Linked DNA regions of Elephas maximus indicus. The protein of the gene in region 1 purifies or fractionates together with the protein of each later gene. This does not show direct contact. Links are inferred from orthologs where the notes say so. Each region holds a gene or a part of one and is shown on either strand. Other genes may lie near its edges. The genes, in order: PLK1, BICD2, SATB2 and WDCP.

What was found.
Region 2: the proteins of PLK1 (region 1) and BICD2 purify together in Homo sapiens (affinity purification with mass spectrometry; 6 studies listed by BioGRID and IntAct, counting the BioPlex papers as one, with this or other methods). This does not show direct contact. The link is inferred for Elephas maximus indicus from reciprocal best matches to the Homo sapiens genes PLK1 and BICD2.
Region 3: the proteins of PLK1 (region 1) and SATB2 purify together in Homo sapiens (affinity purification with mass spectrometry; 3 studies listed by BioGRID and IntAct, counting the BioPlex papers as one, with this or other methods). This does not show direct contact. The link is inferred for Elephas maximus indicus from reciprocal best matches to the Homo sapiens genes PLK1 and SATB2.
Region 4: the proteins of PLK1 (region 1) and WDCP purify together in Homo sapiens (affinity purification with mass spectrometry; 4 studies listed by BioGRID and IntAct, with this or other methods). This does not show direct contact. The link is inferred for Elephas maximus indicus from reciprocal best matches to the Homo sapiens genes PLK1 and WDCP.

The regions. Positions count from the first base shown.
Region 1 is NC_064830.1:83,878,297-83,886,015, forward strand, and holds the start of PLK1 (serine/threonine-protein kinase PLK1), read left to right. Parts: upstream 1-4,650; 5' UTR 4,651-4,771; coding exon 4,772-5,179; intron 5,180-5,919; coding exon 5,920-6,088; intron 6,089-6,840; coding exon 6,841-6,985; intron 6,986-7,719. UniProt on the Homo sapiens protein: Serine/threonine-protein kinase that performs several important functions throughout M phase of the cell cycle, including the regulation of centrosome maturation and spindle assembly, the removal of cohesins from chromosome arms, the inactivation of anaphase-promoting complex/cyclosome (APC/C) inhibitors, and the regulation of mitotic exit and cytokinesis.
Region 2 is NC_064827.1:111,157,086-111,165,212, reverse strand, and holds the start of BICD2 (protein bicaudal D homolog 2), read left to right. Parts: upstream 1-4,972; 5' UTR 4,973-5,127; coding exon 5,128-5,367; intron 5,368-8,127. UniProt on the Homo sapiens protein: Acts as an adapter protein linking the dynein motor complex to various cargos and converts dynein from a non-processive to a highly processive motor in the presence of dynactin.
Region 3 is NC_064824.1:97,962,323-97,969,603, reverse strand, and holds the start of SATB2 (DNA-binding protein SATB2), read left to right. Parts: upstream 1-4,237; 5' UTR 4,238-4,257; intron 4,258-6,780; exon of another isoform or gene 6,781-7,020; intron 7,021-7,212; exon of another isoform or gene 7,213-7,281. UniProt on the Homo sapiens protein: Binds to DNA, at nuclear matrix- or scaffold-associated regions. Thought to recognize the sugar-phosphate structure of double-stranded DNA.
Region 4 is NC_064830.1:41,583,943-41,591,616, reverse strand, and holds the start of WDCP (WD repeat and coiled-coil-containing protein), read left to right. Parts: upstream 1-4,505; 5' UTR 4,506-4,597; intron 4,598-7,558; exon of another isoform or gene 7,559-7,674. Other genes in the region: peptidyl-prolyl cis-trans isomerase FKBP1B, read right to left, coding at 2,386-2,422.

The DNA.
Region 1 (7,719 bases):
GTTCTTTGGGGGTAGGAAGGTGGGGCCCAGTCCACATGCTACACAGAGAGAGAAGGTACCATTCACTCATTTATTCATTTAACAAGTAATTATTGAGCCACTGTTGGATACCAGGCACTGGCCTGGGTTCTAGAGATACAGTGGAAAATAAAAGCCAGCTTTTGCCCATAGGGATCTTGCAGTTGAGTGGGGAGAAAGCCAAGCAAACAGAACATAGAGTTCTCTGATGGAGGCCTGAGGCGCCCGTCTTGAAAGTCACCATAGTGGTGAGGAGTGTGGGCTCTGATCTCAGGCAGATCAAGTCCCAGCCCTGCAATTTACTAGTCTTGTGACTTTGGGCAAGTTAGCTCACCTCATGAAACCTCAGATTTCTTATCCATAAAATGGGGAAGGGACTGTTAGGGTGATTTAAATGTATTCACACGTGTAAAGTATGAGTATAGTGTCTGGTTCAGGGTTACCACTCAATAAATGGTAGTTAAATTACTATTAATATTGGGAAATGATATACCTAGAAGGAAACCCCTTATATTCTCCATTCTTATATATTTTTAATTTTTTTTCTTAATTTCAATTTTGGTGAAAATATACACAGCAGAACATACACCCATTCATCAGTTTCTACATATTCAATTTAGAAACATTGGTTATGTTCTTCACATTGTGTCACCATTCTTGGTGTCTCTACCCATGTTGTTTCACCAACATTGAGTTAGACTCACTACCCACTAAAGTTCTCATCTATGCTTTAGAGTTACTACTGGCAGTTTGATCTCATGTAGAAAGTTCTTTAAAAAAGCACAATGGTCATGGTGAACATCCCTTACTCACTTAGCTAAACAGTTGTTTAGTTTAAAGATGACTTCAGAGGATAATTTTGGTTCACGGTTTGAAAATTTTCTCAGAGTGATAGATTCAGGGTTTCCTCCAGTCTCAGTAAGCCCAGTAAGTCTGGATTCTATAAGAATATACAATTCTGTTCGACATTCCCCCCCGTGATGGTTAATATTGTGTGTCAGCTTGGCTAGGCCATGATTCTCAGTGTTTATATGTGATCGCTCCCATGATGGAATCTACTCTGAGTGGCCAATCAGTTGAAAGGGAGTTTCTGTGGGGATGTGGCCTTCATCCGAATATAAGGAGATGTTCTGGCTTTTTGCTCATTCTGGATTCTCCAGCCGCATTCTGTTTGTCTGACCTTTTACTCTTGGGACTTGAGCTATCAGCTTATCTGCAGATCTTGGGATTCGTAGATCTTCACAGCCTGAGAGCGGGAGTCCCGCTCTTCAGCCTGCCTATCTTGGGTTCACCAGCCCCAGCGGCTACGTTAATTGAGAAAAGCCTCTATTCTGATCCACAGACTGGGGACATTCCAGCCTCTATAGTCTCGTGAGCCTTTTCCTTGATATGAATCTCTCTATATAAAAAAAAAAAAAAAAAAATTTTTTTTTTTTTATATATTTATACACTTTACTGGTTTTGCTTCTCTAGAAGACCCAGGCTAAGACACCCCACTTTTGATCAGGATTCATCTCTTGATTCCTTGATCAAAACGTTCAGTAACGGTAGCTGGCACCATCCAGTTCTTTTGGTCTCATGGCTGAGGAGGCAGTAGTTCATGGAGGCAGTTAGACCTGCAATCATGTTCCTGTCCCGATTCCTCAGTCTCCTTCTTCCTCTGCTGCTCCATTTTTTAAAAAATTTTAAAGTAAAATTAAGAACATCTTGCCCTTTATAATTGGTCCGGTACAAAGAAGAGTTGGTGGAAAAGAACTCATTCTTCCTTGTTTTGCATCTATAGGGTGCTAGGCACTTAGTACAAAACATTTAATCCTTCCAACTGTCAAAACAGTAGGGATTTTTGCAACCCATTTTACAGAGGAGGAACCTGACATTCAGAGAATTTAAGTAAATTTGCCCAACATCACACAGCTAATAAATGGCTGAGTTGAAATCAAAACCAAGTCTTATCTGGCCTCGAAGTCCATGCTCCATGCAGCTTCTCCAATACCCTGGGCCTCCAAAGCAGTTGGCTCTGAGGACTACACTTACTGCCTTGTTGGTTAACCCTTTGCTTTCCTTAGGTTTTTGCTGGTGGGTTGTTCCCCTCTGACCTGGATCCTGAAGTGAGAAGAGTTGGCACAGGGCATCTTGCTTCCTTGAGGAGAGCAAATGAGCTGGTTCTGGATCTCCCAGTTCACTGGGCATTAGGAACATAGGGCATGGAGAGGAACATCTTTCAAGAAAAGAGACACAGGAATGGAATCCATGTCCTTTCTGGCTCTCAGACCTTGGGCCTGTGGATTTTCTTGGTCCTACCAACTTGACTTTTTTCAGCTATAGTCTCCTCAACCTTTCGTGTCTCTTGAGTGTGGTTTTTGTTTTCCCATGGGAGCAGCAAGAGCCTGAGGAAGCAGTAGGGACAGGAGAGGGGGAGAATAAGGAAATATGAGAGGCCTAGGAACTGCCCTGGTGGTACCGTGGATACAGGGCTTATTTTAATTTGCACCTAAAGGCATAACTGAGATCCGTACTGCAGGTTGGTCTCACCCTGAGGCCTGGGGTCCCACTGATAATAATTTTGCTGTAAGGAAACCTTAGCCAAGGGCCAAGGGGGTAGACTGTGCAGAAAAGAGTTAACACAGCAAGACCTGAGAGTGCTAGCCTCAGAAAGCCCTGTTTGCAAAGCTGGCCCCTGACTGGCATCTAGGACCTTGAATTTTGGGAGGGCTGTCACCATTCCCTAAGTGATAAGGATGAGTCACTGTATCTAAACTGTTGGGGCAAACAACATGTTTTATGCTGAACACCTGCTTTCTTTCTGGGAGTCTGAAGTTTTGGTATGTACTAGGCAAAGAGTGTCCATGTGACCAACCCCCAGTAAAAACTCCAGACACTGAGGCTCTAATGAGCTTCCCTGGTAGACAACATTTCACACGTATCGTCATAACTTATTGCTGAAGAGCTAAATGCATACTGTGCAACTCCACCTGGTTCCCTCCGGGCTTTGTCCCATGCCCCTTTTCCCTTTGCTGAGTTCGCTTCATGTCCTTTTGCTGTAATAAATCATAGCCATGAATAAAAGTATATGCCAAGTCCTGTGAGTCTTCTAGCAAATCATTGACTGGGAGTGGCTTTGGGGACCCCCAACACAGGGCCCCAGGGGGGCTTCAGGGGTGTTGGTAATGTTCTCTTTCTCCGTCCGGTTGCCAGTTACATGGGGTGTGTTCAGTTTGTGGAACCTCATCGAGCTGTAAGTTGTGATACGTGCACTTCCTCTATGAATATATTAAACATAAATAAAAAGTTCAAAGAAAAAAGGTGGTTACGCAGGATTAAAAAAAAACTTTTTTTTTTTTAACTTTTTATTCTGCTCATTACCCCTTTCACCCCAAGCATTGTGTTGGGAGCAAGACATGGAGTAGAAAAGACAGCATCATTGTCATTGTCGCCTGGTTTAATTGGGAGGCAGGTAAAGATGTGCTTACAAGATGGTTGATTCTTGCAAACTTTATCAAGGACATCAGAGGGTGCTAAGGGGCTACAGAAAAGGGGCTTCTAACTTGGGTATATGGCCATTCCAGGGTTGCCACTCACATACCTACAGAAGCCAGACAGGCAAATGGGCAAAGGCGGAGAGGTGGGAACTGGCAAACTGGGAAGACATGCAGGCCTACTGTTGCTTAACTTCTGGGTTTTTTCGGGAAAAGCCACAAATGTGATTTTTTTTTTTAATTTGAGCTCTCGATTTTTAAATCCTGTAAATGAATTCAATTTTTAAAAAGTGGGGAGGCCAAACGAAATACCCCTGCTGGCCAAATCTGGCCATGGCCTGTCGGGTTGCTAGGCATTCATCCCATCAGCCATTCCTCCCTGTGACCAACAAATTGAGCGTACACTTTTTTTTAGGCATTGGGATAGCAGGGAGCAAGCCAAACAGCTTTCTTGCATAGTGGGTACTGGGCTTCTCAAACTAAAGTGTGTGTAGGAATCACCTGGGCAATCTTGTTGAAAGGTGGCTTCTGACTCAGGAGGTCTGGGGTGAGGCCTTTCTACCAATGCTCAGGTGATGGTGATGCTGGGTCCCTGGACCAGACTTTGAGTAGCGTGGCTCTGTAATGCAGAGGGGCTCAGGAGCAGCTATTTATTTGGAGGGGGCCTAGGGGACTTGCTGTGAAGGTACATTTGCCTGGCAAGCATTCTGTTTTTACGTAGTTTATTTGGGGTGGCTTGGTAGAGAGCTGATGACCACGGAGGCGGGTGCTAAGCTTGTCCCGAGCTACCCCTTGGCTCTGCCAGGTCTCTACTCTTATAGCGCTTACGTTGTGGTAGGCGGGGTGGGAATGGAGGACGGGGCAGGGGGAGGGGTGGTAAAGGAACGTGTTAGGAAAAGCCTGGACGACGTGCATGTGAATTGCAGGAGCTCCCCCAGCTGCCCCCGAACGGGAGACACCCTGAACTCCCCTCCGCAGGCATTCCCAAGCCGAGTTTCCAAGGCATCCCACGTGTGTGCTGTCCGCGCGTCCCTCCCAATCAAGTTTCCTTCCCTGCTGAGCGAAGGTTTAAAGGCGGCGGCTTTGCAGAGCGCTCCCATGGTGCCGCGCGGTGGGCGGGTTTGGATTTTAAATCCCCGCGGCCAATCAGTGGCGCGCAGGGTTTTGTAACGTTCCCGGCGCCGCGTTTGAATTCGAGGGGAGCGGAGCGGAGCGGAGCGGAGCGGTGCGGAGCGTCTACCCAGACCCTGGTAAGCCCGCTGAGCAACTTCGAGAGCATGAGTGCGGTGGTGACGGCAGGGAAGCTGGCACGGGCACCGGCAGAGACCGGGAAGACCGGGGCCCCGGGAATTGCGGTTCCCGGGGCTACGGCGTCCGCCCCGCCGGCGAAAGAGATCCCGGAGGTCCTAGTGGATCCTCGCAGCCGGCGGCGCTATCTGCGCGGTCGCTTCCTGGGCAAGGGAGGCTTTGCCAAGTGCTTCGAGATCTCGGACGCAGACACCAAGGAGGTGTTCGCCGGCAAGATCGTGCCTAAGTCGCTGTTGCTCAAGCCGCACCAGAAGGAGAAGATGTCCATGGAAATATCTATTCACCGCAGCCTCGCCCACCAGCACGTCGTCGGCTTCCACGGCTTTTTCGAGGACAACGACTTTGTGTTCGTGGTGCTGGAGCTCTGCCGCCGGAGGGTGAGGGTCTCTGACGGAGGATTGCAGTTGCTTGGGGGCCGGTGTTGGGGCGCTGGGGGCCCTGAGCTGCTGGGAAGGACTTCCTGGGGAAGGAGCGCCCGGGACCCGCAGCTGCTAGGGAAGGGTTGCTGGGAACCTCTAGGTGGGGCAGGGGAAGGTCTCGGGTAGGGGGTGCTTGGCACTTGAGGCTGCTTGCGTAGGGGGTTAAGTGGAGCCTGAGTTTTGTTGCTGCTGGGGAAGGCAGCTCCTGGACGCGAGGTGTTTGGAGAGGGGAGAACTCTGGTAGTGAATAAATACTAGGGCCCCCAGAGTTCCTATGGGAGGAGCCCTGGGTAAAGGGCGCTGGGGACCTGGAGCTGCCGGAGTGGGGCTGGGGAGGAACAGAAGGGCTGGAGCCAGACTTCGGAGCTTCCAGGGGAGAGAAAGGAAAGAGTACTGGGGACTCTGAGCTTCGGGAGTGGAGCTGGAAGAGGCGTCCCAGATAAGGATCTTGGGAGGAAGGCGCTACTGGGAGAGAGTGCTGTGAGCTGTAATAGCCAGGGTTAGGGCATGGGTCCAGCTTGGGGTTGTCCTGAAGAAGGAATGCAAGAGGGGATAGGAGAGGGAAAGAATCTGTCAAGATCCTTCCCGTATACCTTTGCCTGCCGCTGGGGGTCCAGGGTCCAGTCCTGGGCTGCCTTTCCCTGGCGACCCCACATCCTCAGTGCCACCTCTCCGTTCCTCCTCCTACTGGGGCCTAGTCCCTTCTGGAGCTGCACAAACGGAGGAAAGCGCTGACAGAGCCTGAGGCCCGCTACTACCTGCGGCAGATAGTCCTTGGCTGCCAGTACTTGCACCGAAACCGTGTCATTCACCGGGACCTCAAGCTGGGCAACCTCTTTCTGAATGAAGACCTGGAGGTGAAAATAGGTGAGGTGCTGGGCCTGTAGGGGTGCCCTGCACCACTAGAAGCGGGGAAGAAGGATGAGGAAGTGGAGGGAGGGAGGAAACAGGAAGAAGGCAAGGGAGGATGAGGTGATGGGAAGTCTGAGCTGTTGATTCCCTCTAGAGTCCCTCTTTAGCCCAGAAATTTAAAACAAAGGGCCCACAAGCCAGTATCTTGCCTGTAAATGCATTTTGTGCCCCTTCACAGTATTTTTTTTTTTTTTTTGTAAGAATTAGAATTAGTTTTTTTCACTTGGGAGGCTTGACATAAAAATTTGGATTTGGAGCTCCTTTTAAACGATTAGAAGCACCAGCAACACAGGGACAGCATTCCCTGAGGGCAGCCCTTTTCTGGGCTGAAAGCAGCTGTCCCCTTTAGAATCCCTCTGGTTTGCCACAGTCCCTACCCCTCCCTATTACTTCCTCAAACTTACCAAGCATCAGTCATGAGGTTACTTGCTTGATCCCTGTAGGTGTTTGAGTTTTGCTGTCCCTGTCTTGTTCCCTTTTAGAAGCATAGCCCTCCTTTTTATGGGGGACTGGGGGAACACTGGGTGGCATCATCCTGGGGTCAGCAGATGGGAGGATTCCTGGGCAAGCCTCCCTGGGTGCAAGGAGTAGAGACTTGTGGGAACAAATGACTGTGGGGCTTGATGGTTGAATCTGAACCAGCTGTCTGCATTGACAGCTGGCAGAGACTGGCATCTGAGCATCCCCTCTTCCTCCTTCTGTCCCAGGGGATTTTGGACTGGCCACCAAAGTTGAGTATGACGGGGAGCGGAAGAAGACCCTGTGTGGGACTCCTAATTACATTGCTCCTGAGGTGCTGAGCAAGAAAGGGCACAGTTTCGAGGTGGATGTGTGGTCTATTGGGTGCATCATGTAAGTTGGGAGCTGTCTCAGGACCCATCTGGCCTCAGTAGGGGCCCTTTTGGGCATCTTACCTGGCTGACCTTCTGGGGACACTTCCCCTTATGGAAAGGCTGTTCCAACGGACAGATGTTCCAAAAACAAACCCTAATTTCCCTATCTTGTTGCTCTGTAGTATTCTGTAAGATTCCTGCAGCCTGGGCCATGAGTCCAGGAAGGGGGAAGGGGCACCAGTTGGCATGTTTCCATAACCTTGCTCTAGATCCTCACTACTCCAAGTGGGGTCCACAGACCAACAACATCAGCATCACCTAGGAACTTGTTAGAAATGCAGACTGTCAGGCCCCAGACTTAATGAGTCAGAATCTGGAGTTTAACAGAATTCCCGGTTGATTTTTATGCACAATAAAGTTTTAGGAACACTGATCTGGAAAGCAGCACTGGGTGAGAGGAATCAGGCCAGGTGTTAGGGCTGGCAGGAGGGGGTTCCTGTGGTCTGTCTGGATCAAGACCATCAGGGAGGAGGCTGGGTGGTGGGCAGAGGTGTGGGCCTTCTCAGAGGTGTTAGCTTTATTGTTGTCATTGTTGGCCTGGGTACTAGAGAGTTAGAAATGAGTTGTAGCAATGGCTTTCATACTTTGCAATAGAGCTTTTTTTCCAAATGAAAATGTCAAGCCTTCTCTTAAGTGTAGAAACTACTAAATGTGGAGCTGCTTCTATAGGAGTTGGGAGCTCACATACTTCAA
Region 2 (8,127 bases), on another chromosome or scaffold:
ATTTCAGCATCAAGCCTGTGTCTCCATCTGACTCACAGTAGGACCTTGGCTGAGCTATTCAACATCTCTTCATTTGTTCACTCCTTCCACGAACACTGGCGCACATGCTGTGGGTGAGGAAAGATCAAGGCCTTGCCAAGACCCCTGCCCTCATGGACCTGATGTTCTAGTGGGGGATACAGACAGTGAAAAGGTAAATAAGTACAACATACAGTATATTATGGAGAAAAATAAAGCAGAGAAGGGAAATAGGGTACAGGGGACTTTTGAATAAAAAGCTGAGTAGAGGTGAGGAAGTAAGCACTGTCAGGTAGAGGGAACAGCAAAGGTCCTTGCTGGAGGTGCAGCAGGGAGACTAGGAGGCTGGAGGCGAGTGAGAGAGGGAGAGCGTGGCAGAGAGGAGGTCAGAGAGGGCGAGAGTGGTAGAAAGGTCAGAGAGGGGTCAGGTCAGCAGGGCTTTGGAGGTTGCTGCAGAGTTGACTGATTCTAGGAGGGTTTTGAGCAGAGTAGGGACGTGACCAACTTGGGTGAAGAGAATAGACTCGGTAGAGGGTGGGAGGGGGTGAGGGCAGGGACACGAGGTGTCTGTACAGTCCAGTTGGGAGGTAATGGGGCTCAGACCAGGGAGGCAGCAGTGGGGAGAGGGGAGAAAGATCTGATTTCAGTTCAGTTTGTTCTGAAACTTGGGCACACAGCCTTTACTGACAGATTGAGTGGTGCGGGGAGTACAAAGTCAAGGGTGACCACAAGGATTCTGCCCTGGGCCTCAGTGTTCTCACTTTTGCAATGGATGGAGTAATCCCCACTTCTCAGAGTGCAGGAAGGATTAAACGAGACAATGTGTGTTGAGGACCTGGCAATGCTGGGCACGCAGCTGTCCGCTCCCTGGGTGAGTGCAAAGCCACCCTATTCCTCTTGTCCCTGTGAGACCCTCTATGATGGGAGCCGTAGACCGGCCAACTTCTGGCCATCCTGTGGATCTCTGCTCAGGTGTCACTCCCTCAGGGAAGCCCTTTCTGATCCCCTCTCATGACAATGTCACATGTCATGGCTTCCAGACTACTCCAACACAGCTCAAGCCTTGACACCAGAGCAGCTGTCCTTCTTGCTGGAAGTACCAAATGGTTGACAGGTCCCTATGTCCCCAATACCCAGAAAAGTCCCTGCCTGTAGCCTGAATGTGTGTGAGGCCTACCCTGTCCCCTTCCAGCCACCACCCTGTCTTTAAGTTCAAAGCTCTGTGGTCTTTCCCTGCACCAGATCCCCACGGTCCTTTCCCTTGCCCCCTCAGGTCAATAGCATATGAAGACTGGGGGTGAGAGTAGCAGGCATTGAAGTCAGGCTACTGGACTTTACCACTGACGTATGACCTTGAGCAAATCACTGATTCTGGGAGCATCAGTCCTTCCTCCTACACTGGGGAAACTCACTCAAACAAGGCTCATTCTCTCTGCCCTTCTTCGCCCTAAGATCCCTTCTACTTAGGCCAACAATGGTCCCAGCTTGCCTAGGCCTGAGGGGTTTCCCAGGATGTGAGACTTTCAGTGCTAAAACCAGGACAGTCCTGGCAAACCAGCATGGTTGGTCATCCTACTACTACCACAGTTGACCTCCTGAAAAAGTATTTTTAATTTCACAAATATGACACATTCATTTCATAAAAATAAAACATTAAATGACTAAAAGAAGTCAGGGCTCCTTGAAGAAATGGCTGATTCTAAGGAAGGACAAGACGATCCTGGAATAACTTGTGCCAGAAAGTAAGAGAGTGCTTGAAAATGACGACATGTTGAAAGGACACAGGAGCCAGCTTGGAGGGGCTCTCATCAGCCAAAGAATCCATGAATCCATACTGGTAATGAATTATTGAGAAGGGAAATATCTTCCTTATAGTGCAAAGCCATCTAATGGAGAAGGAATGACGGAAAGAAGAAAGCAACTAGTATGGTAATAATTAGTTCAGACAAGACATATTATCAATTAATGGTAAAACTAATGGGTAAAAGTTTGAGTAGTAGCAGGATACTGGCACAAATCTCAAAGGCACAAGTCTCATATGATACTAATTCCATAACAGTAACTGGACAGTGGAGAAACCTGGCAGACACCACCTTAGCTGATCTAAGTTAACATCACCAGTAATTGGACAATTTAAGCATTGTGTACCTCCAAATATGATGTATGAAGAACTCAGCATCGCTTCTGTGACTCTACTGCCAAAAATGTGTAACCTTAATCTAACCGCAAGAAAACCTCAGACAAACCCAAATGGAGGGAGTGTGTAAATAACTGGACTTTACCTGACAGTTAAAATGAATGAAGTGGAAAGAGCCCCAAGACATTGTTGAGTGAGAATAATAGTGTTGGATTTTTAGATTTCTAATAAAAACATAGGAACGATGTTCTACCATATTCTGTGGAAGTGTATATGGACATAAATGTCGAGGAAACAGGCTGCAAGAGTACAGACCACAATGATGACAGGTTAGCAGAAGGGGTATCATCTGTACTCCTTGGAAAGGTCAAGGTCATGAAAGACAAAGACTGAGAAACTTCCAGATTAGAGCCGACTAAAGGGACATGGATCATAACAAATGATGGGTAACACTGTGAAGAATGGGAATTCCAGAACACTTAATTGTGCTCATGAGGAACCTGTACATAGATCAAGAAGCAGTTGTTCGGACAGAACAAGGGTATACTGCGTGGTTTAAAGTCAGGAAAGGTGTGCATCAGGGTTGTATCCTTTCACCATACCCATTCAATCTGTATGCTGAGCAAATATCTGAGAAGTTGGACTGTAGAAGAAAAGGGCATCAGGATTGGAGGAAGACTTATTAACAACCTGCATTATGCAGACAGTTATGCTTGCTGAAAGAGGACTTGAAGCACTTACTAATGAAGATCAAAGACCACAGCCTTCAGTATGGATTATACCTCAACATAAAGAAAACAAAAATCCTCACAACTGGACCAGTGAACAACATCATGAAAAATGGAGAAAAGATTGAAGTTGTCAAGGATTTCATTTTACTTGGATCCACAATCAACAGCCATGGAAGCAGCAGTCAAGAAATCAAGACACATTGCATTGGGCAAATCTGCTGCAAAAGACCTCTTTAAAGTGTTGAAAAGCAAAGATGTCACCTTGACGACTAAGGTGCGCCTGACCCAAGCCATGGTATTTTCAATCGCATCATATGCATGTGAAAGCTGGACAATGAAGAAGGAAAAGCGAAGAAGAATTGACGCCTTTGAATTGTAGTGTTGGCGAAGAATATTGAATATGCCATGGACTGCCAAATGAACGAACAAATCTGTTTTGGAAGAAGTACAACCCGAATGCTCCTTAGATACATACTTTGGACAGGTTGTCAGGAGGGATCAGTCCTTGGTGAAGGACATGGTGCTTGGTAAAATAGAGGGTCAGTGGAAAAGAGGAAGACCCTCAAAGATATGGACTGACACAGTGGCTGAAACAATGTGCTCAAGCATAACAATGATTGTAAGGATGGCATAGGACAGGGCAGTGTTCTGTTCTGTGGTACACAGGGTCGTTATGAGTCGCAACTGACTGGATGGCACCTAACAACAACAACGAAAGAGACATGGTAACTGAATGCAATGCATGATCTCAGATTGGATCCTGGATGGGGGGGGAAGCTATAAAAGACATTATTGGGACATCAAAGAAATTGGAATATGGAAAGTGGACAATAGTACTGTAAATCTGTTGCCACTGAATCAATTCCAACTCATAGCAACCCTTTAGGACAGAGTAGAACTGCCCCATATAGTTTCCAAGGAGTGGCTGGTGGATTCAAACCTCCCACCTTTTGATTTAGCAACGGCGCTCTTAACCGCTGCGCCACCAGGGCTCCAATAGCACTGTATCAATATTCAGTCTCCTGAATTGGATAATTGTACTGCGGTTATGTAAATACCTTTATTCTTAAGAAATACACCCTGAAGTACTTAGGGGTTATGAAAGAAAGTCATAGTTGGGGCTAAAGTTCTCTTTGATCCCTACCCATATACCCGTTCTGCTAACCTGTCATCATTTTGGTGTGTGCTCTTGCAGCTTGTTTCTTAACATTTATGTCCATACACGTTCCCACAGAACACTGTTCCTATGTTGTTAGGATTTAGAAATTCAGTACTGAACGGTTTATTATGTACCTCTGACTCGAGAATGTCTCGGGACTCTCTCCATCTCATTTAACTGTCGGATAAAGTCACATACCGGGCCTGGCTACCTCCGTTTTTTTCGTCCCAGACCCTGTCGCCGTGCACCGAAGTTGGTTCGTTTTTTACCTCCACAAACAATGCGCCTCCTCGAGCTCGGTCTACGAATTTCTCAAAGATGGCTCAAAGCGCTGACACAGAAACATTTCAAAACACAACCGCTATTTGCTCTCCACACCGGCGGTCAGAACTCACCGCGCCCGCGCATTCTTGGAGGAGCTCACTTAACCCTCCCAAGAACCCTGCCAGGTTTCCTTAGAAGCTCCACGGCACAGATGGGAAAATCGAGGCTCGGCGCGGCTGAGCCATTTGCCCAGGTCATGCAGCTCGTGTAGGGGCCACACGGCGCGGGTATCACCGACCCGCGAAACGCCCTCCAGGCCAGGCTCAGCGAGAGCTCGGTACGTGCAGGCGCCTACGGGCGGACCCGGCGAACACAAAGCACCGGGCCACCGCCTTCTGCCTCGGAAGGTCCTGGGGGCTGCGGAGACCCCTCCCACCGGCCCCACCGCGCCCGCCAACTCGGACCTCTGCCACCAGCAGGGTATCCAAGCCTCCAGACTCCCGGGGCCGGAAGGAAAGCCTCTTCCGCCGCTGGGCCACTAGGGTCCCGGCTCCGTGACGTCACAGCCAGAGCCAGTCACAGCTGAGGGCGGGGCGGCGCGGGGTACGATGGGCCTTGTAGTGGGCTCATGAGTGGAGACTACCATTCCCACAATCCCTCGGGCAGAGAGACTACTGCGGCGGCGCGTCCGCGGCCCGGGGCGGCCGTCGGGGATGGGCGGCGGTGACTGGTGAGCTCTGCGAGAGCTACGGCCCCGCGCCTGCCCGGCCTGCGGTGTCCGTGCCAGTCCTGGCGCGAGCCACCGCCCGTGCGCCACCATGTCGGCGCCCTCGGAGGAGGAGGAGTACGCGCGGCTGGTGATGGAGGCGCAGCCCGAGTGGCTGCGCGCCGAGGTGAAGAGGCTCTCCCACGAGCTGGCCGAGACCACGCGCGAGAAGATACAGGCGGCCGAGTACGGGCTGGCGGTGCTGGAGGAGAAGCACCAGCTGAAGCTGCAGTTCGAGGAGCTCGAGGTGGACTATGAGGCCATCCGCGGCGAGATGGAGCAGCTCAAAGAGGTGAGCGGGCCGGGCCGCCGCCGCCACGCCCTCCATCGGCCGCTGGGCAAGCCCCGCCCGATCGGACCCCCCCTCCCCGACCCGCGAGTCGGGGAGCCGGGGCTCAGCTGGGCAGGCGTCCCTTGGGACAGAGGGTACACCGACGCCGAGAGGGAGGCGGCCGGCGCCCAAGGTCACCCTTCCACTGGCAGAGGGAGATGGGTCCGGGAGGTGCTGTTTGTGGAAGAGGGGCCCAGAGGCCCCCGAGAGCCTCCTTCGCCCCAGTCGTAGCGGCTGGCTTCCGTGAGTGGGGCCGTGGGGACCGCAGCTGGACCCTCAGGACCCCGGCTGCCCGGCCCAATCCTTCGTATCCCGGCTTCTGCCCCTGCCCCTGGAGAGTGGCAGCCTGCATGGCCCATTCTCAGGAGGATTCCAGCCCAGTGGCTTCCTGGGAGCTAGGCAGGCCCCAGGATGTCGTAGACAGGACATGTGGGAGGGAGTCTTGACCTCCGCGAGCAAAGGCAGGGAAATGTCCAGCCAGGCTGATTTTTTGGGCTGAGCGGTTGTGGAACCTGTGGAGGTACACGCTTTCAGTCGGGCCATCGCCAGCCAGCTTTTCTGCTTTTGGCAGGCCTGTGGGCACCACAGGCAGAGTTAGGTTTTATAAAGTGGGGGTAATATTTTCTGCAGCGTTTTGCTGTCCTGTGTGTGTGCGTGGGTGGGTGGGTGGTGTGTGAATGCTGAGCCAAGAGCTGAGGCTGGCAGATGGAGCTGACCGGTTGGGAAAGGCCAGGCCTGAGTCTTTGTGGGGGCTGCTGTTGTGTCACCTTCGGGCAAATCACTTCCCTTCTCTGGGCGCAGCTACGTTCAGCGCGGTTTCAGCTCCTTCCTGAGTGCTGTGAGGCTGAGAAAGGCCCTGGACAAGGGGCCTGAGGGAGTCAGGGACTCGGTTTTGCATGTGGCCATCAGCGTTGACTGGGGTCCCCCCAGTGTCTCCTTACCAGGCACAGCTCCCCGACCAGGATGCACTCTCCTCACTGCCATGATTATTTCTCCCACCATCTGGGATGTAATGCTTCTCCCGACCACTTCCTGTCCCATGCCTCCTCACGGGACCTTCCTCACTATGCCATCGAGAAGGCCTCTGCAGATGTGATGGCAGGTCTGTGGGTCCTTGGGTGGGGCTGTGGCCCTCACGGACAGACCTCTGTTTCCTGTTTAATTTTCACTTTGAGGATTAGGAGATTAGGCCCCCAGGTGGCCTGAGAGTTCTCTTGGAGGGTGGTGAGAGAGTGGGAGGGGAGGGGCACCAGGGGCTTCTGGGAGAGTACCTGTGAGAACTGGGCAACCTGCCACTTGCAGTAGTTCTCCTGGGATGATTTAAATACCAGTTTTTATCCCACCCCTCCCTAACGCCCATACCCTATTGTGGGGTTGGGGAGAAGAAGTTGCTGTCTGGGTAGATACACCTGGGTTTGCCCTTTAGTGGTGATGTGGTGGTAGGCAGGGATACTCTCTGAACCTTAGTTTCTGTCTCTGCCAAATGAGTGTACAACATTGCCCACCCAGATGGGTGTGTCTGAGGATCGTGTATTTGAACAAGCCTGGCATGGTGGCTGATGTGTAGTTGACAGTTCTGTAGCCTGTTGATTTCTCTGACAGCGTGTGCCCCACTTCCCCACTGACTCCTCCCTTGGCCAGGTGGGCTCTTGACTGTGGGCCCTGGGTCTTGGGGATCCACCATACTTGCTGCTTCCCTGATGCTCACTTCCCTGCATTCCCACCCCTGTTGGCCTTAGGCAGGTGCCTTGGCCCTTTGGAGCCTCTACTGCCTCCCTGGGAGACCAGTAGGACCCTCCCTGACTGTGGAGAGGAGTAAATGAGTTAGTCCAAGCCAAGTGTGTAAAGCAAGACCTGGGCAGTGGAGGTGCCCTGTTGGTACCAGTAAATAACTGGCTGAGGGGCAGCTGGGAGCTGGGCTCCTTGCATGTCTACATGAGTCTCACAACCTCGAGGCTGACTTGTATGACATAGGGCCCTGGTGGTCTGTCTGCAGGTAGTGGAGCCTCCTCTGAGCCAGGGTTGGCTGGCACCGCATCAAGGAGAGGGCCAAGATGAAAACCCTCCTGCAAGTGCCCCAGTTTGGTGGGAGAGAAACAGGAATAGGTAGGGTAGGGGGTGACCCATCCCAAGTCTAGCTTTGCCCCCTGCTTCCCCTTCCCTGGTGGATAGTTAAGAGAGCTGGAGTGATGCTGGGTTAGGTAAATATCGTTTCCTGTCCTGAGTGACTCTGTGACTTTAGGCCAGGTACATCTTACTCTCTTGCCTCAGCTGCAGCTTCCAAGGGGACTGGTGTGCTAAGGCTGCCAGCTCCTGTCTTTGGGCAGTCTGGCAGTTATTGTGGGGGGTAGACTGAGGTTGGGGTCAGGCAGGAGGGCTTGGTGGGAACCAGTGTGTGAACCAGGCCAGGCACACGTGACGGGATTGGATCAGAGCCTGGTCTTTGTGGATCTGGAATAAGAGGGCAGAAAGGCCTTGCCACTGTGTTCCTCTCCAGGCCTACCTGGCCTAGTACAAGCAGAGCTGAGGCATAGTCTCAGACCTGAACCTGGGCTATGAGAGCAGAAGGAGGCAGGTTTGGATCTGGATGTCTTTGCTGCCTTACTGTGTTATGTTGGGCTGTTGCTGAACTTGTCCCTGATGTGGCGTGAGATAGTGCCTCCAGAGAGGGCTGCGGGTAGTTAGGTGAACTCTGGAGCGTCAGGGCTAGTATGAGGGCAG
Region 3 (7,281 bases), on another chromosome or scaffold:
CTCGGGCGCCAGGGGCACTAGCCCAGCAGCCCCGGCAGGAACGCGCAAGTTGGCGCCGCGAGCCCGGCCCCCTGTAAGGGTGCGGTCCGTGGCCGCCGGACGAGGGACAGCGTAGGCATCCCGAGCTCACCCCAGTTTTGTGTGTGTGTGTGTGTGTGTGTGTGTGTGGAGGGGGGCTGGGAGCTTTGTAATTGGGTTGGACCGGGTGAATTTACACCTTTCTGGGTGGTTGTCCCTTTCAATAGCCGCCAGTCGCATAATTTGTGTGTGTGCGCGCACGTGTGCGAACAATCGAATTTATTTAAAATAAGCCCCAACCCACCCAGTAGAGTTCTCTAAACCCAAAGTGGGGGCCCTTAAGTCCTGGCCTGCTGCCGCGAAGCGCAAAGTGATGTCCAGCCCGCTGGGCTTGGGGAAGGGCCCAGAGGGCAGGCCCCTTGGGATGGGCAGTTGCTCAGCGCTGGATCGCCTCTGTTACTGCCACCTGGGCCTTAGCCTGGTGGTCAAGCCTTGACGGAGTAAGGATGTCCGAGGGGCTTCGTGCAACCGAGAGAACAAGCGGGGCATCCTTTCGTAGAGCCCTCTTGGTTTTCCCCGCCGCCTGACCGGACCAGACAGCTGGACAGAGCGGCTCCCCGCCCGATCCTCGACTCCAGTAGAATGGCCAGGACCTTGTGTCACTTCAGAAGCAAGGGTGGTCGGGCGGGGCGCCGGATTTCTCGCCCTTTTAGGTGTGTTTCGGGATCGGCACAGAGGACCTCTCCGGTAACTCTCCGGCTTGTGCCACTTCGGACCTGCTGCTGGGGCCCGCCTGCTCTGGCAAAGGGTGGGCCCAGGTTCCATGGCGCAGTCTGCCTGCCTACTGGAGTTTAGGGTGCAAGTGGGGACTGCGGCCTGGCCTTACCAGATATTCTTTTCATTAAAGTGGTTGGGGCCGACTGCGGGCGCCGGCATTTTGTGCGCGCGAGGAGCATCCTCGGTGTTGGCTGATCTCGATGGGCCGGGAGTCTGGCCCTGCTCAGCCTCCGCCACAACATTAACCAGAGGACTGGAGCTCGGCAGACCCGCCGACTCCCGAGAGCCGCGGGCTGAGCCCAGGGCGTCGCAGCCCACGCGGTGGCGCTGTCGGGAGAGGACGCTTAGCCTCCGGGCCGGGGCCCGGGCAGTGACCTGCGCTCGGAGGTGACAAGGCCGTAAAGATGAGTCGAGGCCGTGGACTTGTCACCACCGCCTTTTGGCCGGGAGATTACAGATAGGACCGAACCCTTCCGCCCGGCTTTGTGTTTCCAGAAAGGAGACTCAGCCGGGCGGGAGAGAGATTCCCGGCTCCCAACCCCGCCGCGTCGGGGTGGGGGCGGGAGGGAGCGGCGGCCACTTTGGGGTTTCGTTTTCTCTCCCCCTTTGCTTTGTTATACCGTCGTTTAAAGTCGATTCCTATAAATAAGCTAGATTAGCAAGGCAGTCATTCTCTCGCTGCTGCCGCAGAAAGAGATCAGGCTTCTAAGCTCTTGACTCTGTAAAAGAATGAAGGGACCTCGGGAGTCCCGGGGACGTTGCTGTGTGTCGCTTGGGGAGTGCTCGGAGCCTGCAGACCCTTTGCTTTCTGGGGCCTCCTAACCCGGGCCTCAGCTAATGGACACCTAGACCTCCACCCAACGGCCCGCCTTGCTCCGCTAGCTTTCCTTCCCCAGGGCAGGCAAGGCCCACCCCCGACGCCGTCTCCCACCCCCTACATCTGGGACCCGGGTGCAGAAAGCTCCCTCTCCTCTGGAGGCAGCTCCTGGGCTGCCTTTCTTGCCTCCCATCCCGTCCTCCGGGCCTTTGCAGTGTCCCTTCCGCTAAGCCCCGACGCACCCGCTTCCTGGGTGCTAGGTTCACCACCTAACGTGGACTAGTTGCCCACCGTTCTTTTCCAATCAGTTGTCTCACTGGGACACATCTCTCCGTCTAGGCCAAAGAGGCTGGCTAGTTCGAGGACGGTAGCAGGTCCTCCACCGCCCGGACCTGCGGCGTCCCGAGGGCTTCCTGGCCGCTTGGCTCCAGCCCAGGCCCAGGAGCCGCGGGGTCAGAAGGGGCAATTGATCTTTGCCGGGCGCGGGTTAGGGTTGCCCCGCTCTGATGCCAAGGAGGAAGGTGGACCCATAACGAAGTAAGTGGCCCTCCCCGCCCTAACCCTGCCCCCCCCCCCGCCCCCGGCGCGCTCGGTCGGTCCCCAGACTCCTCCAGGGCTCGCGCCCCACAGTCAACCTGTTTTTTCTGCGCGGGTCCTGGCCCTGGGTCCTTAGCCCCTTGGCACAGCCAATTTCCAATCCAAGCCCGGTGCAGTTAAGCCGCCCGCGAACATGTAGGCCGTCTACTCTCTCCACCGACAGTCCGCCGCGAAAATTGGCTCCAGAGCTGATATGGGCTTCATTTGAGAGGAACACTTCCCTCCTGCCCTCCTCCCGCCCCCCACAGGGCAAGCCCGGGGGGGGGGGGGGTAGAGGCAGGCCTGCGTCTGTTCCCAAGAGCCGTCTAAGGCATTTGACGGTGGCAATTCCCACGGTTTTCCCTGTGCGTCTGAGTTTGGAGGCAAGACGCCGCACAACTTTCCGGTGTTCTCTGAGAGGCAGCGCACGGCCGGGAGAGCCCCTTTGCTTGGATGACCCGGCTTGAAAGCCGGGGGCCTAGGGAAGGATTGCTGGGCCTTAAGAGGTCCAGGTGGCCGGCAGGGTGCGGGGCTCCCGCTCCCGACACCCCGCACCCTACGCCCGAGCAGTTGGGCCTAGGCCGTCCGCAGCGGGAGCCCGCACAGCAGAGCATCGGTCTTAAGAAAAATCAGAAGTGTTGTCACTGAATGTGCAGGCCCTGAGAGAAAGGAGGCCTGCTGAGGAGAGAGAAATGGGGGAGACGTGGAAATAAGAAAAAACATGCGCATTTAAGCCCAGTATATGAAGATCCGTTGATTTTTAAAATAACAAATCTCCGTGTTTCTGAAAGACAGGCGACCTTTGACTAAGTGACATAAGAAAAAAATTGGGGGTGGGGGAAGGAGAAAAAGTCGGAGCAGTTCCGGATTAAAATGTCAGTGAGAAGCAAGCTGAGGGATAAAAATGTCTCCCAAATGTGAACTTTATGCTTTCGAGCACCGGGACAAAGGACAGCCGTAATGCACAAAATGCGTTTTGGATCAATATATATATGTATTAAAAAAAGACAAAAGTAATTAAAACCAATTCTTTTCTTGAGTGTGATTTTGTTTCAAAAATGGGAATAAACAACTTAGGAACATAAAGCGAAGCCAAACAAAAATTTTGAATCATCATAATTATTTATTTACTGTCTTAAAAAGTAGACAATCCTAGTGAAAGATTAAAAAATGTTAAATATCCCTTCTTGTCAAAATTAAACATACTGGAAATAGCTTACTTCAATAGAAATAAGGTCAATACAAATATTGTGCTGTAAAAAGCGTATGTAATTTGAAACAGAAAAGGCCTTTATTAGGGATAAAACCCAAGGAAAAAAACTCAGCTGGGCATACATCACAAAACTTCCTAGGATTCTCCTTTTTTAAACTGAAAGAAATTTGTAATCTGCGTTGCTAAGTGTAACTCTACAAATCCTCAAACTATATTTCTGATAATAATTGTTTTACATCTTCCTCTATGTTAAATGCACTTTTAAATAATTTGAGACTTTCTTTAACCCAAATGAATTTGTTCACTATAAAAAAAACAGATAGGAGGAAGTTCCAATAAAGAGAAAAAAAAATCAATGAATTTAAAAGTGCAGAATCTGAAAACAAACTTAATCACAATGTACACTTAATTGTACTTAATTGTTTACTTTATTTAAATCGTCCTTCTCAGGGATTTAATAATTTAGAGTCAATAGTTCCCTCAAAATATAATAAAATATTTAACTTTATGAAATATTAACCGATTAACAACACGGCTGTGTTGTTTATAAGAGTGTAACTGAAGTCTTGTAATCCTGCTGTTGACACAAGACTGTGAGGTTAGCAAAGTGATCTTCCCAAAATGTAAATGAAGACCTTCAGACAGTGGTGTTCATAAAATAGCTCATTAATGGCTTAGGATTGAATCGCTCCAACCATCCGCATCATCAGATATAATAATAGTGACGAATCAGACAGGAAAGATTCTGGCTAAACCACTTCCATTTTTTTCCAGAAGTACTGAAGTCCTAATATCACAAATCCTTCTAAGTTCCTGGACACGGATCCGGAGGAGGATTCCGCAGTTCACCACCAAGGTAAGGAAAGAGACAGCATTATCGTTCTCAAGGAATTAATAAGAAATGTGTCTTTCACCATTTTGAAAATGGGCTCAAAGTTGGACAGTGGCAGTTGGTTTTTGCCACCACCCCCCTTCTTACTTCGACGTGATATTACGGATAAAAAAAGTTTGTCGATCGAACTTACAGTTTGTTTCTTTGCAGCCAAAAACCTTTTAGCTACCACCACGGGTTGATTTATTTGAGGCTCTTTGCCCTCAGCGACTTCGAATTGTGCATTTCCTCTAACCCATTTGTTTGGGGGAAAAATAGCATTTGGGAAAGAAAAATAGGGAAAGTGAAGCGCTGCCTAAATCCCCAGGGTGGCTCCCCGAAGGTTTCCTATCTTGCTCGCTCCCTTTGTCGGCAGGGCTCTTGCTGCCTCCCCGGCGGCCTTCGGCTCCTTTGGAACTTGGTGGGCGGTGCCTGAGTGCGGGGTACACCCGGATCTGGGCGCCAAGACAGGCCGGGGGCAGGTTTCGCTTCTGGGACCCTTTCTCATCCAGAGGCTCCCCGGCCTCTCCGGCCCCTGCTTTTGAGATGACTGCGCGCCAGCAGTCCTTCGGGTAGGTGCGGCGAGTGGGTTCTCGACCCGATCTCTGGCACGCTCAGTGAACGTGGCTTCCCGCTGTCCCAGTTCTGGGCCGGAATTTCCAGAATTGCCCCCCGGAGCGCGTTTCCCGAAACCGAACTTAGTTTGGCCCTCTGGCGCCGCCGTACAGTCAATGCTTCTTAAGGGGGACTGGCGGCTAGGGCTACTAGATAGAGGGGGGAATCCTCGGGGTCCTGGATATTAGGCAAGAGCACCTAGGTGTGCGGGAGAGCTGGGAGGCGCCGCCAGCTGAGTGGACTTCGTCGGCCTGAAGGTCGACGGGACCGGCCCACATCTTCCCGCCCCGGGTTCCAGCGGCGAGTGTCCGCCAGCGCCCTAGGCGTCTCGCAGGGACTGCGGCTCTTGCCCACGTGCAGCAGCTCCTTAAGGAGGCCCGGCGGCTAAGCGGGCCCGCAGGGACAAAAGCGCGGCCAGAGCCCAGCCTGCTCGGCTAGGGCCTGCGCCACCTTAAATGAGCGCCGCGGCCGGAGCTCAGCTGCGGGCGGCGGCGGCCGCGACCGCGCGAGTCGGCAAAAGTTTGTGGCTCTGTGACCCCTGTGCAGGATCCACCGGGGACGCCCCCGCGCAGCCTCTCCCGGGGCGGGGAGGCCGGGTCCTCACCGCACAGTTCTGTCAGCGCCCGCAGTCCAGGCCCGAGTCACTTGGGGTCTCCGGAGCCCCAGCCCCGCAGCCCAAGGACAGGCAACCCTACTGTCATCGCTGCCACCGCGCCACGAGCTCCAAGCGGCCCAGGCTGTTCCGCTCGCGATGTCTCCGGCGCTGCGAGCGCTTCAGGGACGCAATCCAGGGATGCCCCTCGCCCTGCTCCCCCCACGCAGCCCCCTCTCCGGTGCCACCCGCAGCGGGAAGGGCAGTGCTCAAGCTCCCGCCGCTCGGGACACCCCGGCTATTGTTCCGGACCCGCGGGCTGTGCCCGCTGTGAGGGAAAAGCGGCCTTCCCCCTGTAGCCGGCGGCGCGGAGCGCGGCTGCTCGGCGGGCCCGGACGGCCGGCTCCGCGCCGAGGGGGAGCTGCAGGCACCGGGAAAAGTTGCTTCGAGGGGCGGAGGCGTTGGGGGGTGGGCGGAGGCGGTGGGTGGGGGAGGCGATCGCCCTCCTATCTCCAAAGTCGAAAGTACTCGGCGCAGTTAGCAGAGCCGGGAGCCGAGGCAGCCGCGGCCACCGCCTGCGCGTGGGTCTGCCGGGAGACTCGGCACCCAGTGCCTGCCTTGTCGCTGCCACCTCCGCGCCGGGACAAGCGCGCCTACGGGCTGGGAGAGGCGGCCGCGCCCTGGACCCGCCGTGAGGAGGAGGACCAGACCCCGGGCCTGGCGCCCGGGCACACCCGCCCGCCGGCCGCGGCCACTGTCTCGCGCTGCATTCCGTCCTCTGCCATCGGTCCTCAGCCGCCTGGCGTGCACGGTCCTCGCCACCCTGCTCCCACCGCCGACTCTCTCCTTCCTCCTTCTCCCTCCTCCTCCTCCCTCTCACCCGCCCCTTGCTTGTCCCTCTGCCTGCTCTGCAGCCCAGCCGCTGTTGGGTCGCCGCTTTCACAGCGATTGATTGATTGATGTTTAATTTCCTGCCAGGCGGGGCTCCCTTCCCCCCGCAACCTCCCCAGCCCTCCTCCCCTACCCCCACTCCCCTCCTTGATTGCGGTGGACCAGTCTGGCTTGGGATTAGATCTGTTCCCCCCCACCCCCATCCCGAAATAACCCAAAGACTTCCCCTACCCCCACCCCAAATTATTATTTCCAAGGCGCTAGATCTGGGGACGGAAAGGGGGAGGGGGAGAAATCGGAAACCGAGGACAACCCAAAAGGACTCACTTTGCCTGATGACTCAACGCAACTAATAATCATCTCCCTCTCAGTGCGTCTCTCTCTGCGGCTTGTCAGTGAGTCCGGCTCTGGCTGCTGGCGGCGGCGGCCGAGAGGGGAGAGGCTAGGGGTGACAGCTCCGGCGCCCGCCGCGCTCTCTCCCGCGCGTGGTCCCGGTCCTGGCGCCTTCCCGGTTCTCGGTGGCACCGGCCCGGCGGCTCCGGCCGCTCCTCCTCCGGAGCTAGCGGCCCTACGAACCCGCACTCCCGGCCAGCCGCCGCCGCTTCCCGGTTCTCAGCCCTTTCTCTCCAGAACCGATCTCCTTCCCGAAGGTGTGACAAGGCGGTCTTCAGCCTCCTTCTCTCTCCCCCCTCCTCCGCCGTCCCCTCCCCCGCTCGCTCGGGTGCCCCTTTGGAGGAGCCCTCCTTTCCCTTTCCTCCTCCTCCCCCTCCCTCCCCATCATCATCATAACAACCATCTCCGCACAAGAAGAAGACACCCTGACCCAGGACCTTAAACGTTAGGACCTGGGGGAGAGGAAAGGGGAAGAAGTAAAGAGAAAGGAAGACTAGGGGAACACTGCAAGTCAAAGC
Region 4 (7,674 bases), about 42 Mb from region 1:
CTAACCAAAAGGTCAGTAGTTCGAATCCACTAGCCACTCCACGGAAACCCTATGGGGCAGTTCTACTCTGTCCTATAGTGTCACTTTGAGTCGGAATTGACTCACAGCAATGTTTTTTTTTTAATGCCTGTGATTATAACCCCACTGGGAATGGGTTGTCTTTGTTATGTTAATGAGACTGGATTAGTATAGGATGTGTCTTAAATCAATCTCTTTTGAGATATAAAGAGATTAAACAAGCAAGCCAAAGAAGCAGAGGTGGGGGAAGAGAGATGCTATGAAGATTGCCCAGTAGAAGCTAGAAAAGACAAGGACCTTCCTCCATAGCCAACAGAGAGAGAAAGCCTTCCCCTAGAGCCAGCACCCTGGATTTGGACTTTTAGCCTCCTAAACCATGAAAAAATAAGTTTCTATATATTAAAGCCACCCATTTGCCATATTTCTCTTACAGCACTAGATGACGAAGACAGGGTCCAATATACTTGGAGACTGGGAGAATCATTAAAACATTTGATACCTGGGGGAGAGGAATGGTCAGATACGCATTTTAAAAAAGACTTTGGGCTGTGGTATAGAAAATTAGTGGGGTGGGGAGGGGAGACTGAACGGGGGGGAGGGGTTGTGAGACCGAAGCGGGGAGGTGAGGCTGAAGGGAAATGAGGTAAAACTGAAGAGGGGAGGTGAGTCTAAAGGTGGGAAGTGAGACTGAAGGGGGAGGTGAGACTGAATGGAGGAAGTGAGACTGAAGTGGGGAGGTGAGACTGAAGGGGCTGGGGAGAGGATGAAGGGGAGGAGGTGAGGCTGAAAGCAGTGAGATGAGTTTAGAGTCTGTGCAGAAATGCAAGTGAGAGATGATGGTGGCCTGACCTAGGGCAGGGCCTGGGGGAAGGGATCCTAGCAATATTGATCAGGAAGACTTGACAGGACTTGGTAAGGGGCCTGACCAAAGACAAGTGTCCCCAGTATGGGAGTATTCTTGTTGCAGTATTAACTTGTATTTTCCCCTCCTGGCTCTTTTGTACTTCCTGACTGAGGGGTTTACAGAGAGCTGACAGCAGAAAGCCAAATCTCCTCCAGGCTTTCCCTAAACATCTAATCCCCCTCAAGAGAAAATGTTCCGAGTCCCTGGCCAAGAAGGGAGGATAAGGAGAGAACGCTCTAAAGGCTGAGGCTTGTATGAGCCAGGGAAAGAAGATGAGGCCTCCACCCCATCCAAGAACTCTATGGCGGTGCCCTGGGGGAGGGAGGCTGGTGACCAGGACTCAGGGAGATGTTCCCTGGGGCCCAGAAAACGAGGTCCCCATCATGGGCAAAGAAACCTATACCCCACGGGTGACTCGAGGTATCATCTGGGACTTCTAGGGACGACTGTTTTTGAACAAGGAAGGCAGCCTGGAATCAAGAGACCTTCCTAATTTCATGGGGTGGGAATGTCAATAATGTCTAGGGTGAAATACGCCCGTGAAGTCCCGCAGAATGGCCGCTCTAGTCTGAATTAAACCGTACTTAAGAAATAAAGAAATGGCTATTTCCTACACACCCAAACCCAATTATTCAAGGATGTCACCTGAGGTGTCTGGCTTGGGAACGAGAGTCAAGGTACAGGGAACACAGAAAGAGGAGCGCTTGGGGGTGGAGGTGGGGGTGGGGAGGGAGCGTAAGTTCTGTTTTGGACTTGCTGACTTTGAGGTACCCCGTGGGAAGTCTAGGTATAGGTTGAGCAGCAGCCGGATACATGGATCACTGTGAACTCAGGCGGGAGGTCTGGACGGGAGGCTTAGATGTGGAAGCCATCGGTTTCCAGATGATAATGAAAGCCATGAGAGTGGACAGGATCTCCGGAGAGGGTGAGTGGGGCAGAGAGGATAAAGCGCGATCCAGAGGTGGAGGCGGGAGTGCTTCTCCTTTCCCAGTCTGGCTCTGTCCCTACAGGGTCCCACTGCCCAGTCCGCAGTGACCCGCTCCACACGAGGCCCTGCGTGGGGCGCATTAGAAGGGGGAGGAGTAAAGACCCTTTCCCAGGTTTTCAGAGCGCACGTAGCACGGTAAGGAAAGCGGGGCTAAAACCCAGCCCTGGAAAATGAGCAGCAGCGGATAACCGAGTGGTTCCCTCGGCGGCAGCCAGAGGCCCCTGGGGCGGTCACCCGGCGCAGACCCCAGCCTCTGGGCTTCCACCTTCATACCCCCAGGTGAGCCAGCGCGGAAGGGGATGGCGGAGAATCTTCTTCTAGACTCGGAGGAATCCCGATCGCGGTCTCCTCCCGCCGCTCCTCATCCTAGGCCCATACCCCTATCGGCACCCTCAGCACCAAGCGAGTCAGACCCCCGCCCGCCCGGCCCCGCCCTGGGACCCCTCCCCCTCCCCCCGGCTCCACCGCCCGGTACCGTCTCCCGGGGAGATGGTCTCGATCTCCACGCCCATCGTGGTCCCACAGGCCCCGCCTCTGGGGGGGTCCCCGCTGCTGCCCCGACCCCGGCTCGGCAATGGCCCCGGCCTGCTGGCTCTCCGGCTCGCCTCCCCGCCGCCACTGCAGAGCCGGAGGAGGTGCGGCTGGAGTCGGGACCCGCGCGGGGAGGGGCCACGGGAAAGGGGGCGGCGGGGCGGAGCCGCGCGGAAAGGTGGGGTTCGCCGGGGAGGGGCCCTGGAGAAGGGACCCTGACGTGGCCGCTCCCGAGCCTGGCTTGGCTAAGCCTCTTCAACCTACTGGGTGGGGAAGGCGGAGAGGGACGCACACAAGCACTCTCATTGCACCCAGCCATCCATCCATCCCTCCATCCATCAGTTCAATACATATTTGTTTAGCACCTACTGTACGCTAACTGGAAACCCTGGTGGCGTAGTGGTTAAGTGCTACGGCTGCTAACCAAAGGGTCGGCAGTTCAAGTCCGCTAGGCGCTCCTTGGAAACTCTATGGGGCAGTTCTACTCTGTCCCATAGGGTCGCTATGTGTCGGAATCGACTCGACGGCAGTGGGTTTTGGGTGTGCTAACCAGGAAACCCCGGTGGCTTAGTGGTTAAGTGCTACAGGTGCCAACCGAGAGGTCGGCAGTTGGAATCTACCAGGCGCTACTTGGAAACTCTATGGAGCAGTTCTACTGTCTTATAGGGTTGCTGTGAGTTGGAGTCAATTTTACGGCAAGGGGTTTGGTTTATTTATTTATTTATTACTCTATGGTAAGCTCTGGGGCGTCAACTCAGTCCCACAGACTAGGGGGAGAAGGCAAGCAATTAAACTAATATTTTAATTAGATGTGCTCACTGTCCTGGAGTTCAGAATGTTATGGAATTGCCAGAGAGGTACCTACCCTAACTGAGGATGGGAGTGGGGGATTAAGGGAGGCTTCCTGAATCTATAGAGCTGGGGATAGGGGAGAGGGCGTCAGCCATTGCTGGCCCTCCGGCACGCCCCTAAACCCCTATTCGCTATTCTGTGTAGTTCGGCTCCGTGCACATTTATTGGGTTTCCACTTTTCCAGGCAAAGCGCTGCGCCGTGGCGATGCCAATTAAGACAGGATCGCTGTCCTTGAAGACCTAAGTCTGTAATCAGACAGTTACAGGGCGGAGTGATTGAGCTCCTCCTCCACACCAAACCCGTCACCTTCACCCAAAAGAGATCAGGCAATCCGGAAAGATGTTTTAGGAGGAGGTAACAGTTGCCTGAGGTGTGACTGGGACTTTTAAAACTTTTTTTCCTCCTCGTTATTTCCTGCATTGTTCTAAAAATTTAAGGTAAGATTCTGACAGGTGGCGCTGGAAGGTCGGCGTTCGGAGAATATCCTGAGTAAAGGTGTCCAGAGTGGGACCTAGAGGTGTTCTTCCTCCATTTTTCCTACACCCCCCTCCCCCCCACCACAATGCAGGTGGTTAGGTCAGAGACTGCTGGTCATCAGCGTCACTGAAGGAGGACTGGCTGTGTTGGTCCAAACTCAAGAAAGATGATGGTCAACTGTACTGTGGGAGTCAGTACCTGAAACTCCCTATGGGCTGCTCCGAGGAATGGCTCAGGGGTGTAGCTGGTCTAAGAAGCCTAGTGACGCGGTAGGGGCTGCCGCCTTTAGGGTAGGCGTAGAACTGAGATTTATAACTGATCCTTTCAAATTAAGCGGCTTCAGTCGAAGACACTGGTGTATGGATAAGAACATTTTTCTTCTTTTTTTTTATATTTAATCAGATTTTAAAGAGGTTCCCGACACCCCTACCTTTAAAAAAAAAAAAAGGTTAAGAAACTGTGGCGTCGACCCTAGGCTCCTGGACTCCTTCTTAGTCTAAGAGAACCAGCGAGTAGTGGGAAACAGCGCTAAGAGAAGGAAAAACTGTGGCTGGTTTACGGTCCGTGGAGTTCCACGGAGACTACAACTCCCAGAGATCCGTGCGGCAAAGCCTGAGCTGCTTGGCCGATGGGAAGGACCCTCTCCTAACGTGACACATGCAAAAGCCAATAGGCAGGGGGCACTGCAGAGCTTTCCTGGCACCGCTCACATATCAGAGCACTGGAGGCAGATATTTCCGGCACCTGCTCCGGGCTTCGGATCCGCGGTCTGGTGAAGTGGGGCGGCCCCGGGGTGACTGGTTCTGTGCAGACAGTGAGACCAAAGGTATTTTGTCTCCACTGCTGCCCGTCCTGGCTGATGTGGGGAGGCTGCGGGTGGGCTGGGAGAGAGGTGGAGATGTCACCGCGTGAGCGGCATAGGGGGGACCCAGGTGTGCGGAGAGGATGGGCCGAAAGAAGCGTCCCGCGTGGGGAGGGGCGGGAGGATGAGGCTAGAGCTGGGGGTGGTTTTCAAGGAGTGAGTATGTTTCCTGTGACTCATGAATGTTACTTTTGGGAATATATCCTAAGGAATATATATATAAATATAAATATATAAAGAACACACTTCATTCATGCACAAAGACCTGTATCAAAGTGTTACTTATAATAGGATAAAGTTGGCGACAGCCTGGGTGTTTCAGCAGTGAGAGTTCAGTGACTATTAAGTGAATATTAAGTGACCTCAAAATATAATTTGTAAAATTTTTTAAATAACATGAGGAAGTGCTAATAAATAATAACCCAAATGTTAAGTGAAAAAATGTACGATATGATTGAAAAATTTAACAACCAAAACCTATACAGAGAAAAAAGTTGAAAGGATGCAGTCATGATTTTCTTTGGATGAATGGATTTTTATGAATTTCTCCTTTTACTTTTCTAAACCCTCCCCCCCCAAATTAACTGTAAATAACTTGTAATTCTTTTTGAGTTGAAACATAATAAATTTAGAAACTTAGAAAAACAAGGGTATGTACCTCTGTTTAAACCTCCTGGAAATGCTCTAATACACCTAAGCCCCTTGATTTTCACCATGAGTTGTCTTTAAAGAAGATTACGAACAGCAATTAAATGGTTATATATTGAGCAGTAGATCCTGGTTCTGACCACCTCTTCTCCTGGTCTTTTCTCTCTCTAAAACACCCTATCACAGTGTAGAAGTCATTTGGCTAGGCTTTGTGGGGAATCAAAGATAAATAAGATATGGCTCCTGATTTCAGAAAGCTCCTAGTCTGCCTGGGGGTTGAGAGACCAACAGGTACACAGCTTCAAGAAAATTGTAAAATTTTTAAAAAAGAATAATAGGGAAACTCTTGTTCCAACCTTGATCCTCTTGGCCTTCTGATTTTTTCACAGGGAGCTGCTTTGGTTTCAACTACTAACCCTATGCCAAAAAAAAAGAACCTATTGCCCTGATTCCATTCTTACACATAGCAGCAGTTACCAGTTAAGAGCTTTAACCACTACACCACCAGGGCTCCTTAACGCCATGCCAGTGACTCCCAAATCCTTACCTCTAACTGCCTAAGATACACATACTACCTCACAGACTTCTTGAATGAAGCACATCTAATACTAAACTAATCACACACAGCCATCTAAACTTGGAAGCATGTTCTTCCTTTAGCTTTGCTTAATGGTTCAGCAGTTTCCCAAGCTAAAAATCTCCATTTTATCCTTGATTTTTCTTTCTCCCTTACCACTCATATTCTAGCTGATATTATCTATTCCATCTGCCTCAGAAATATCGCTTGAATCTGGTCCCTTTGTCTACTGAAATAGCTGCACACTTGGTTTACTTTCTCATTGTGGCATTCAAACTATTCCATAGCTTCTTATTAAACTTGGCAACTTTCTTCCTTCTTAGGTCCATCTTGCACATTGTCACATGAATGTGTACTGGTTTCCCCAAATTCCAAATTCCTTAGCAGGTCCTTTATGATGGGGGAGAAAAGGTCGGAAAGGTAGACCAATATTAAGTGATATAAAGCCCTAAATGCCTTGCTAAGATATTTTGAAATAACTTATTTTTTTTATATACTCTAGGCTGTGGAGACCTATCACAGGTTTTTGAACAAAAGAGCAAAATAATTTAAAACTTTTTTTTTTTAAAGATAATTCTGTCCAGCCACACATATTGTCTAGGAAAGAGAAGAGACTGTTACCAAGGAGACCTCTCCTTGTTCAGTAAAATGGGAGAAGTGGTCAGGACCTGGATTAACACAATGTCACGAGGAGTGGAAAGGAATGAAGCATTTTTGTAATTGCTGTTAGGTTTTTAGGAAAAATATGCCAAATTTCTTCTTGTCCCAAAGATGAAAATATGAAAGTAATTCTTCTAAAAGCCTCAGTAGCCTTTATTATTTTGTTTTCCCTTATTCACAAATTCTTAGGTGCTACCCCTGGCCACACACACCCTCAATGGCATTAGACTGAATTGGGTGGCCTGTTGTTATAATTGGCCCGTAGGAATTTTCTCTGCCCAGGAAGATGGATCGTGCAGCATTTATCAATGAAAGTCTTTTGAAAAGTGCATGAATAGATCTTAGGAGAAAACATATATTATACAGACCAGTGGGATAGAGATTGCAGTTTTTTTCATTAGTAATGACAGGGGACTTATTTTTCCATCTAGCAAGCCACTGCAGAACCACTTAATCTTACATCAGCGAGAATGCATAACGTCTTTTTGCAGAATCTTATTAGTAAATGATTCTAAGAGCAAGGATGAAGCTAGCAAGGAGGTATGAGAAATAATTCACAGATAAATTAAAAGCAAATCACCAGGCAGTGTGGTAGAGAATACATTTCTTTGGATTTAGAGTCTGAAGACTTCTCAAGTTTTGTCTTTAACACTTACTACTCAGTGATTAAATAAAACAAGGCTGAAAAATGTCAGTTGGATTCGGTGACACCGATGGCACTGGTGGCTTGGTGAGAGCTCTTTTGGAGAGATGGGAATAGACTCGGATTGGAGTGGGTTAAGAGAGTAAGTGGTGAAGAAATAGCACTGCAAATTCAGACAACTCTTTGATAACTAATCAGATTAAATATGTTTGTTGATCATTTGTGTTTTTTTGTAAATTGCCTGTGGATATTCTATGGCCTTTTTAAAATTTTAAAATTTAGGATATTTGCCTTTTTAACTGGTTTGTAAGAGCTTATTATAAAACTTTCTTTGTCAAAAAATAAGTAAGTAAAGAGGATCCACTTTATCTCTTAATACCACCCCACCCCATCTCAGGAGCCCTGGTGGCGCAGCGGTTAAGAGCTAAGCTGGAAACCAAAAGGTCAGCAGTTCGAATCTACCAGCCACTCCTTGGAAACCCTATGGAGCAGTTCTACTCTCTCCTGTAGATT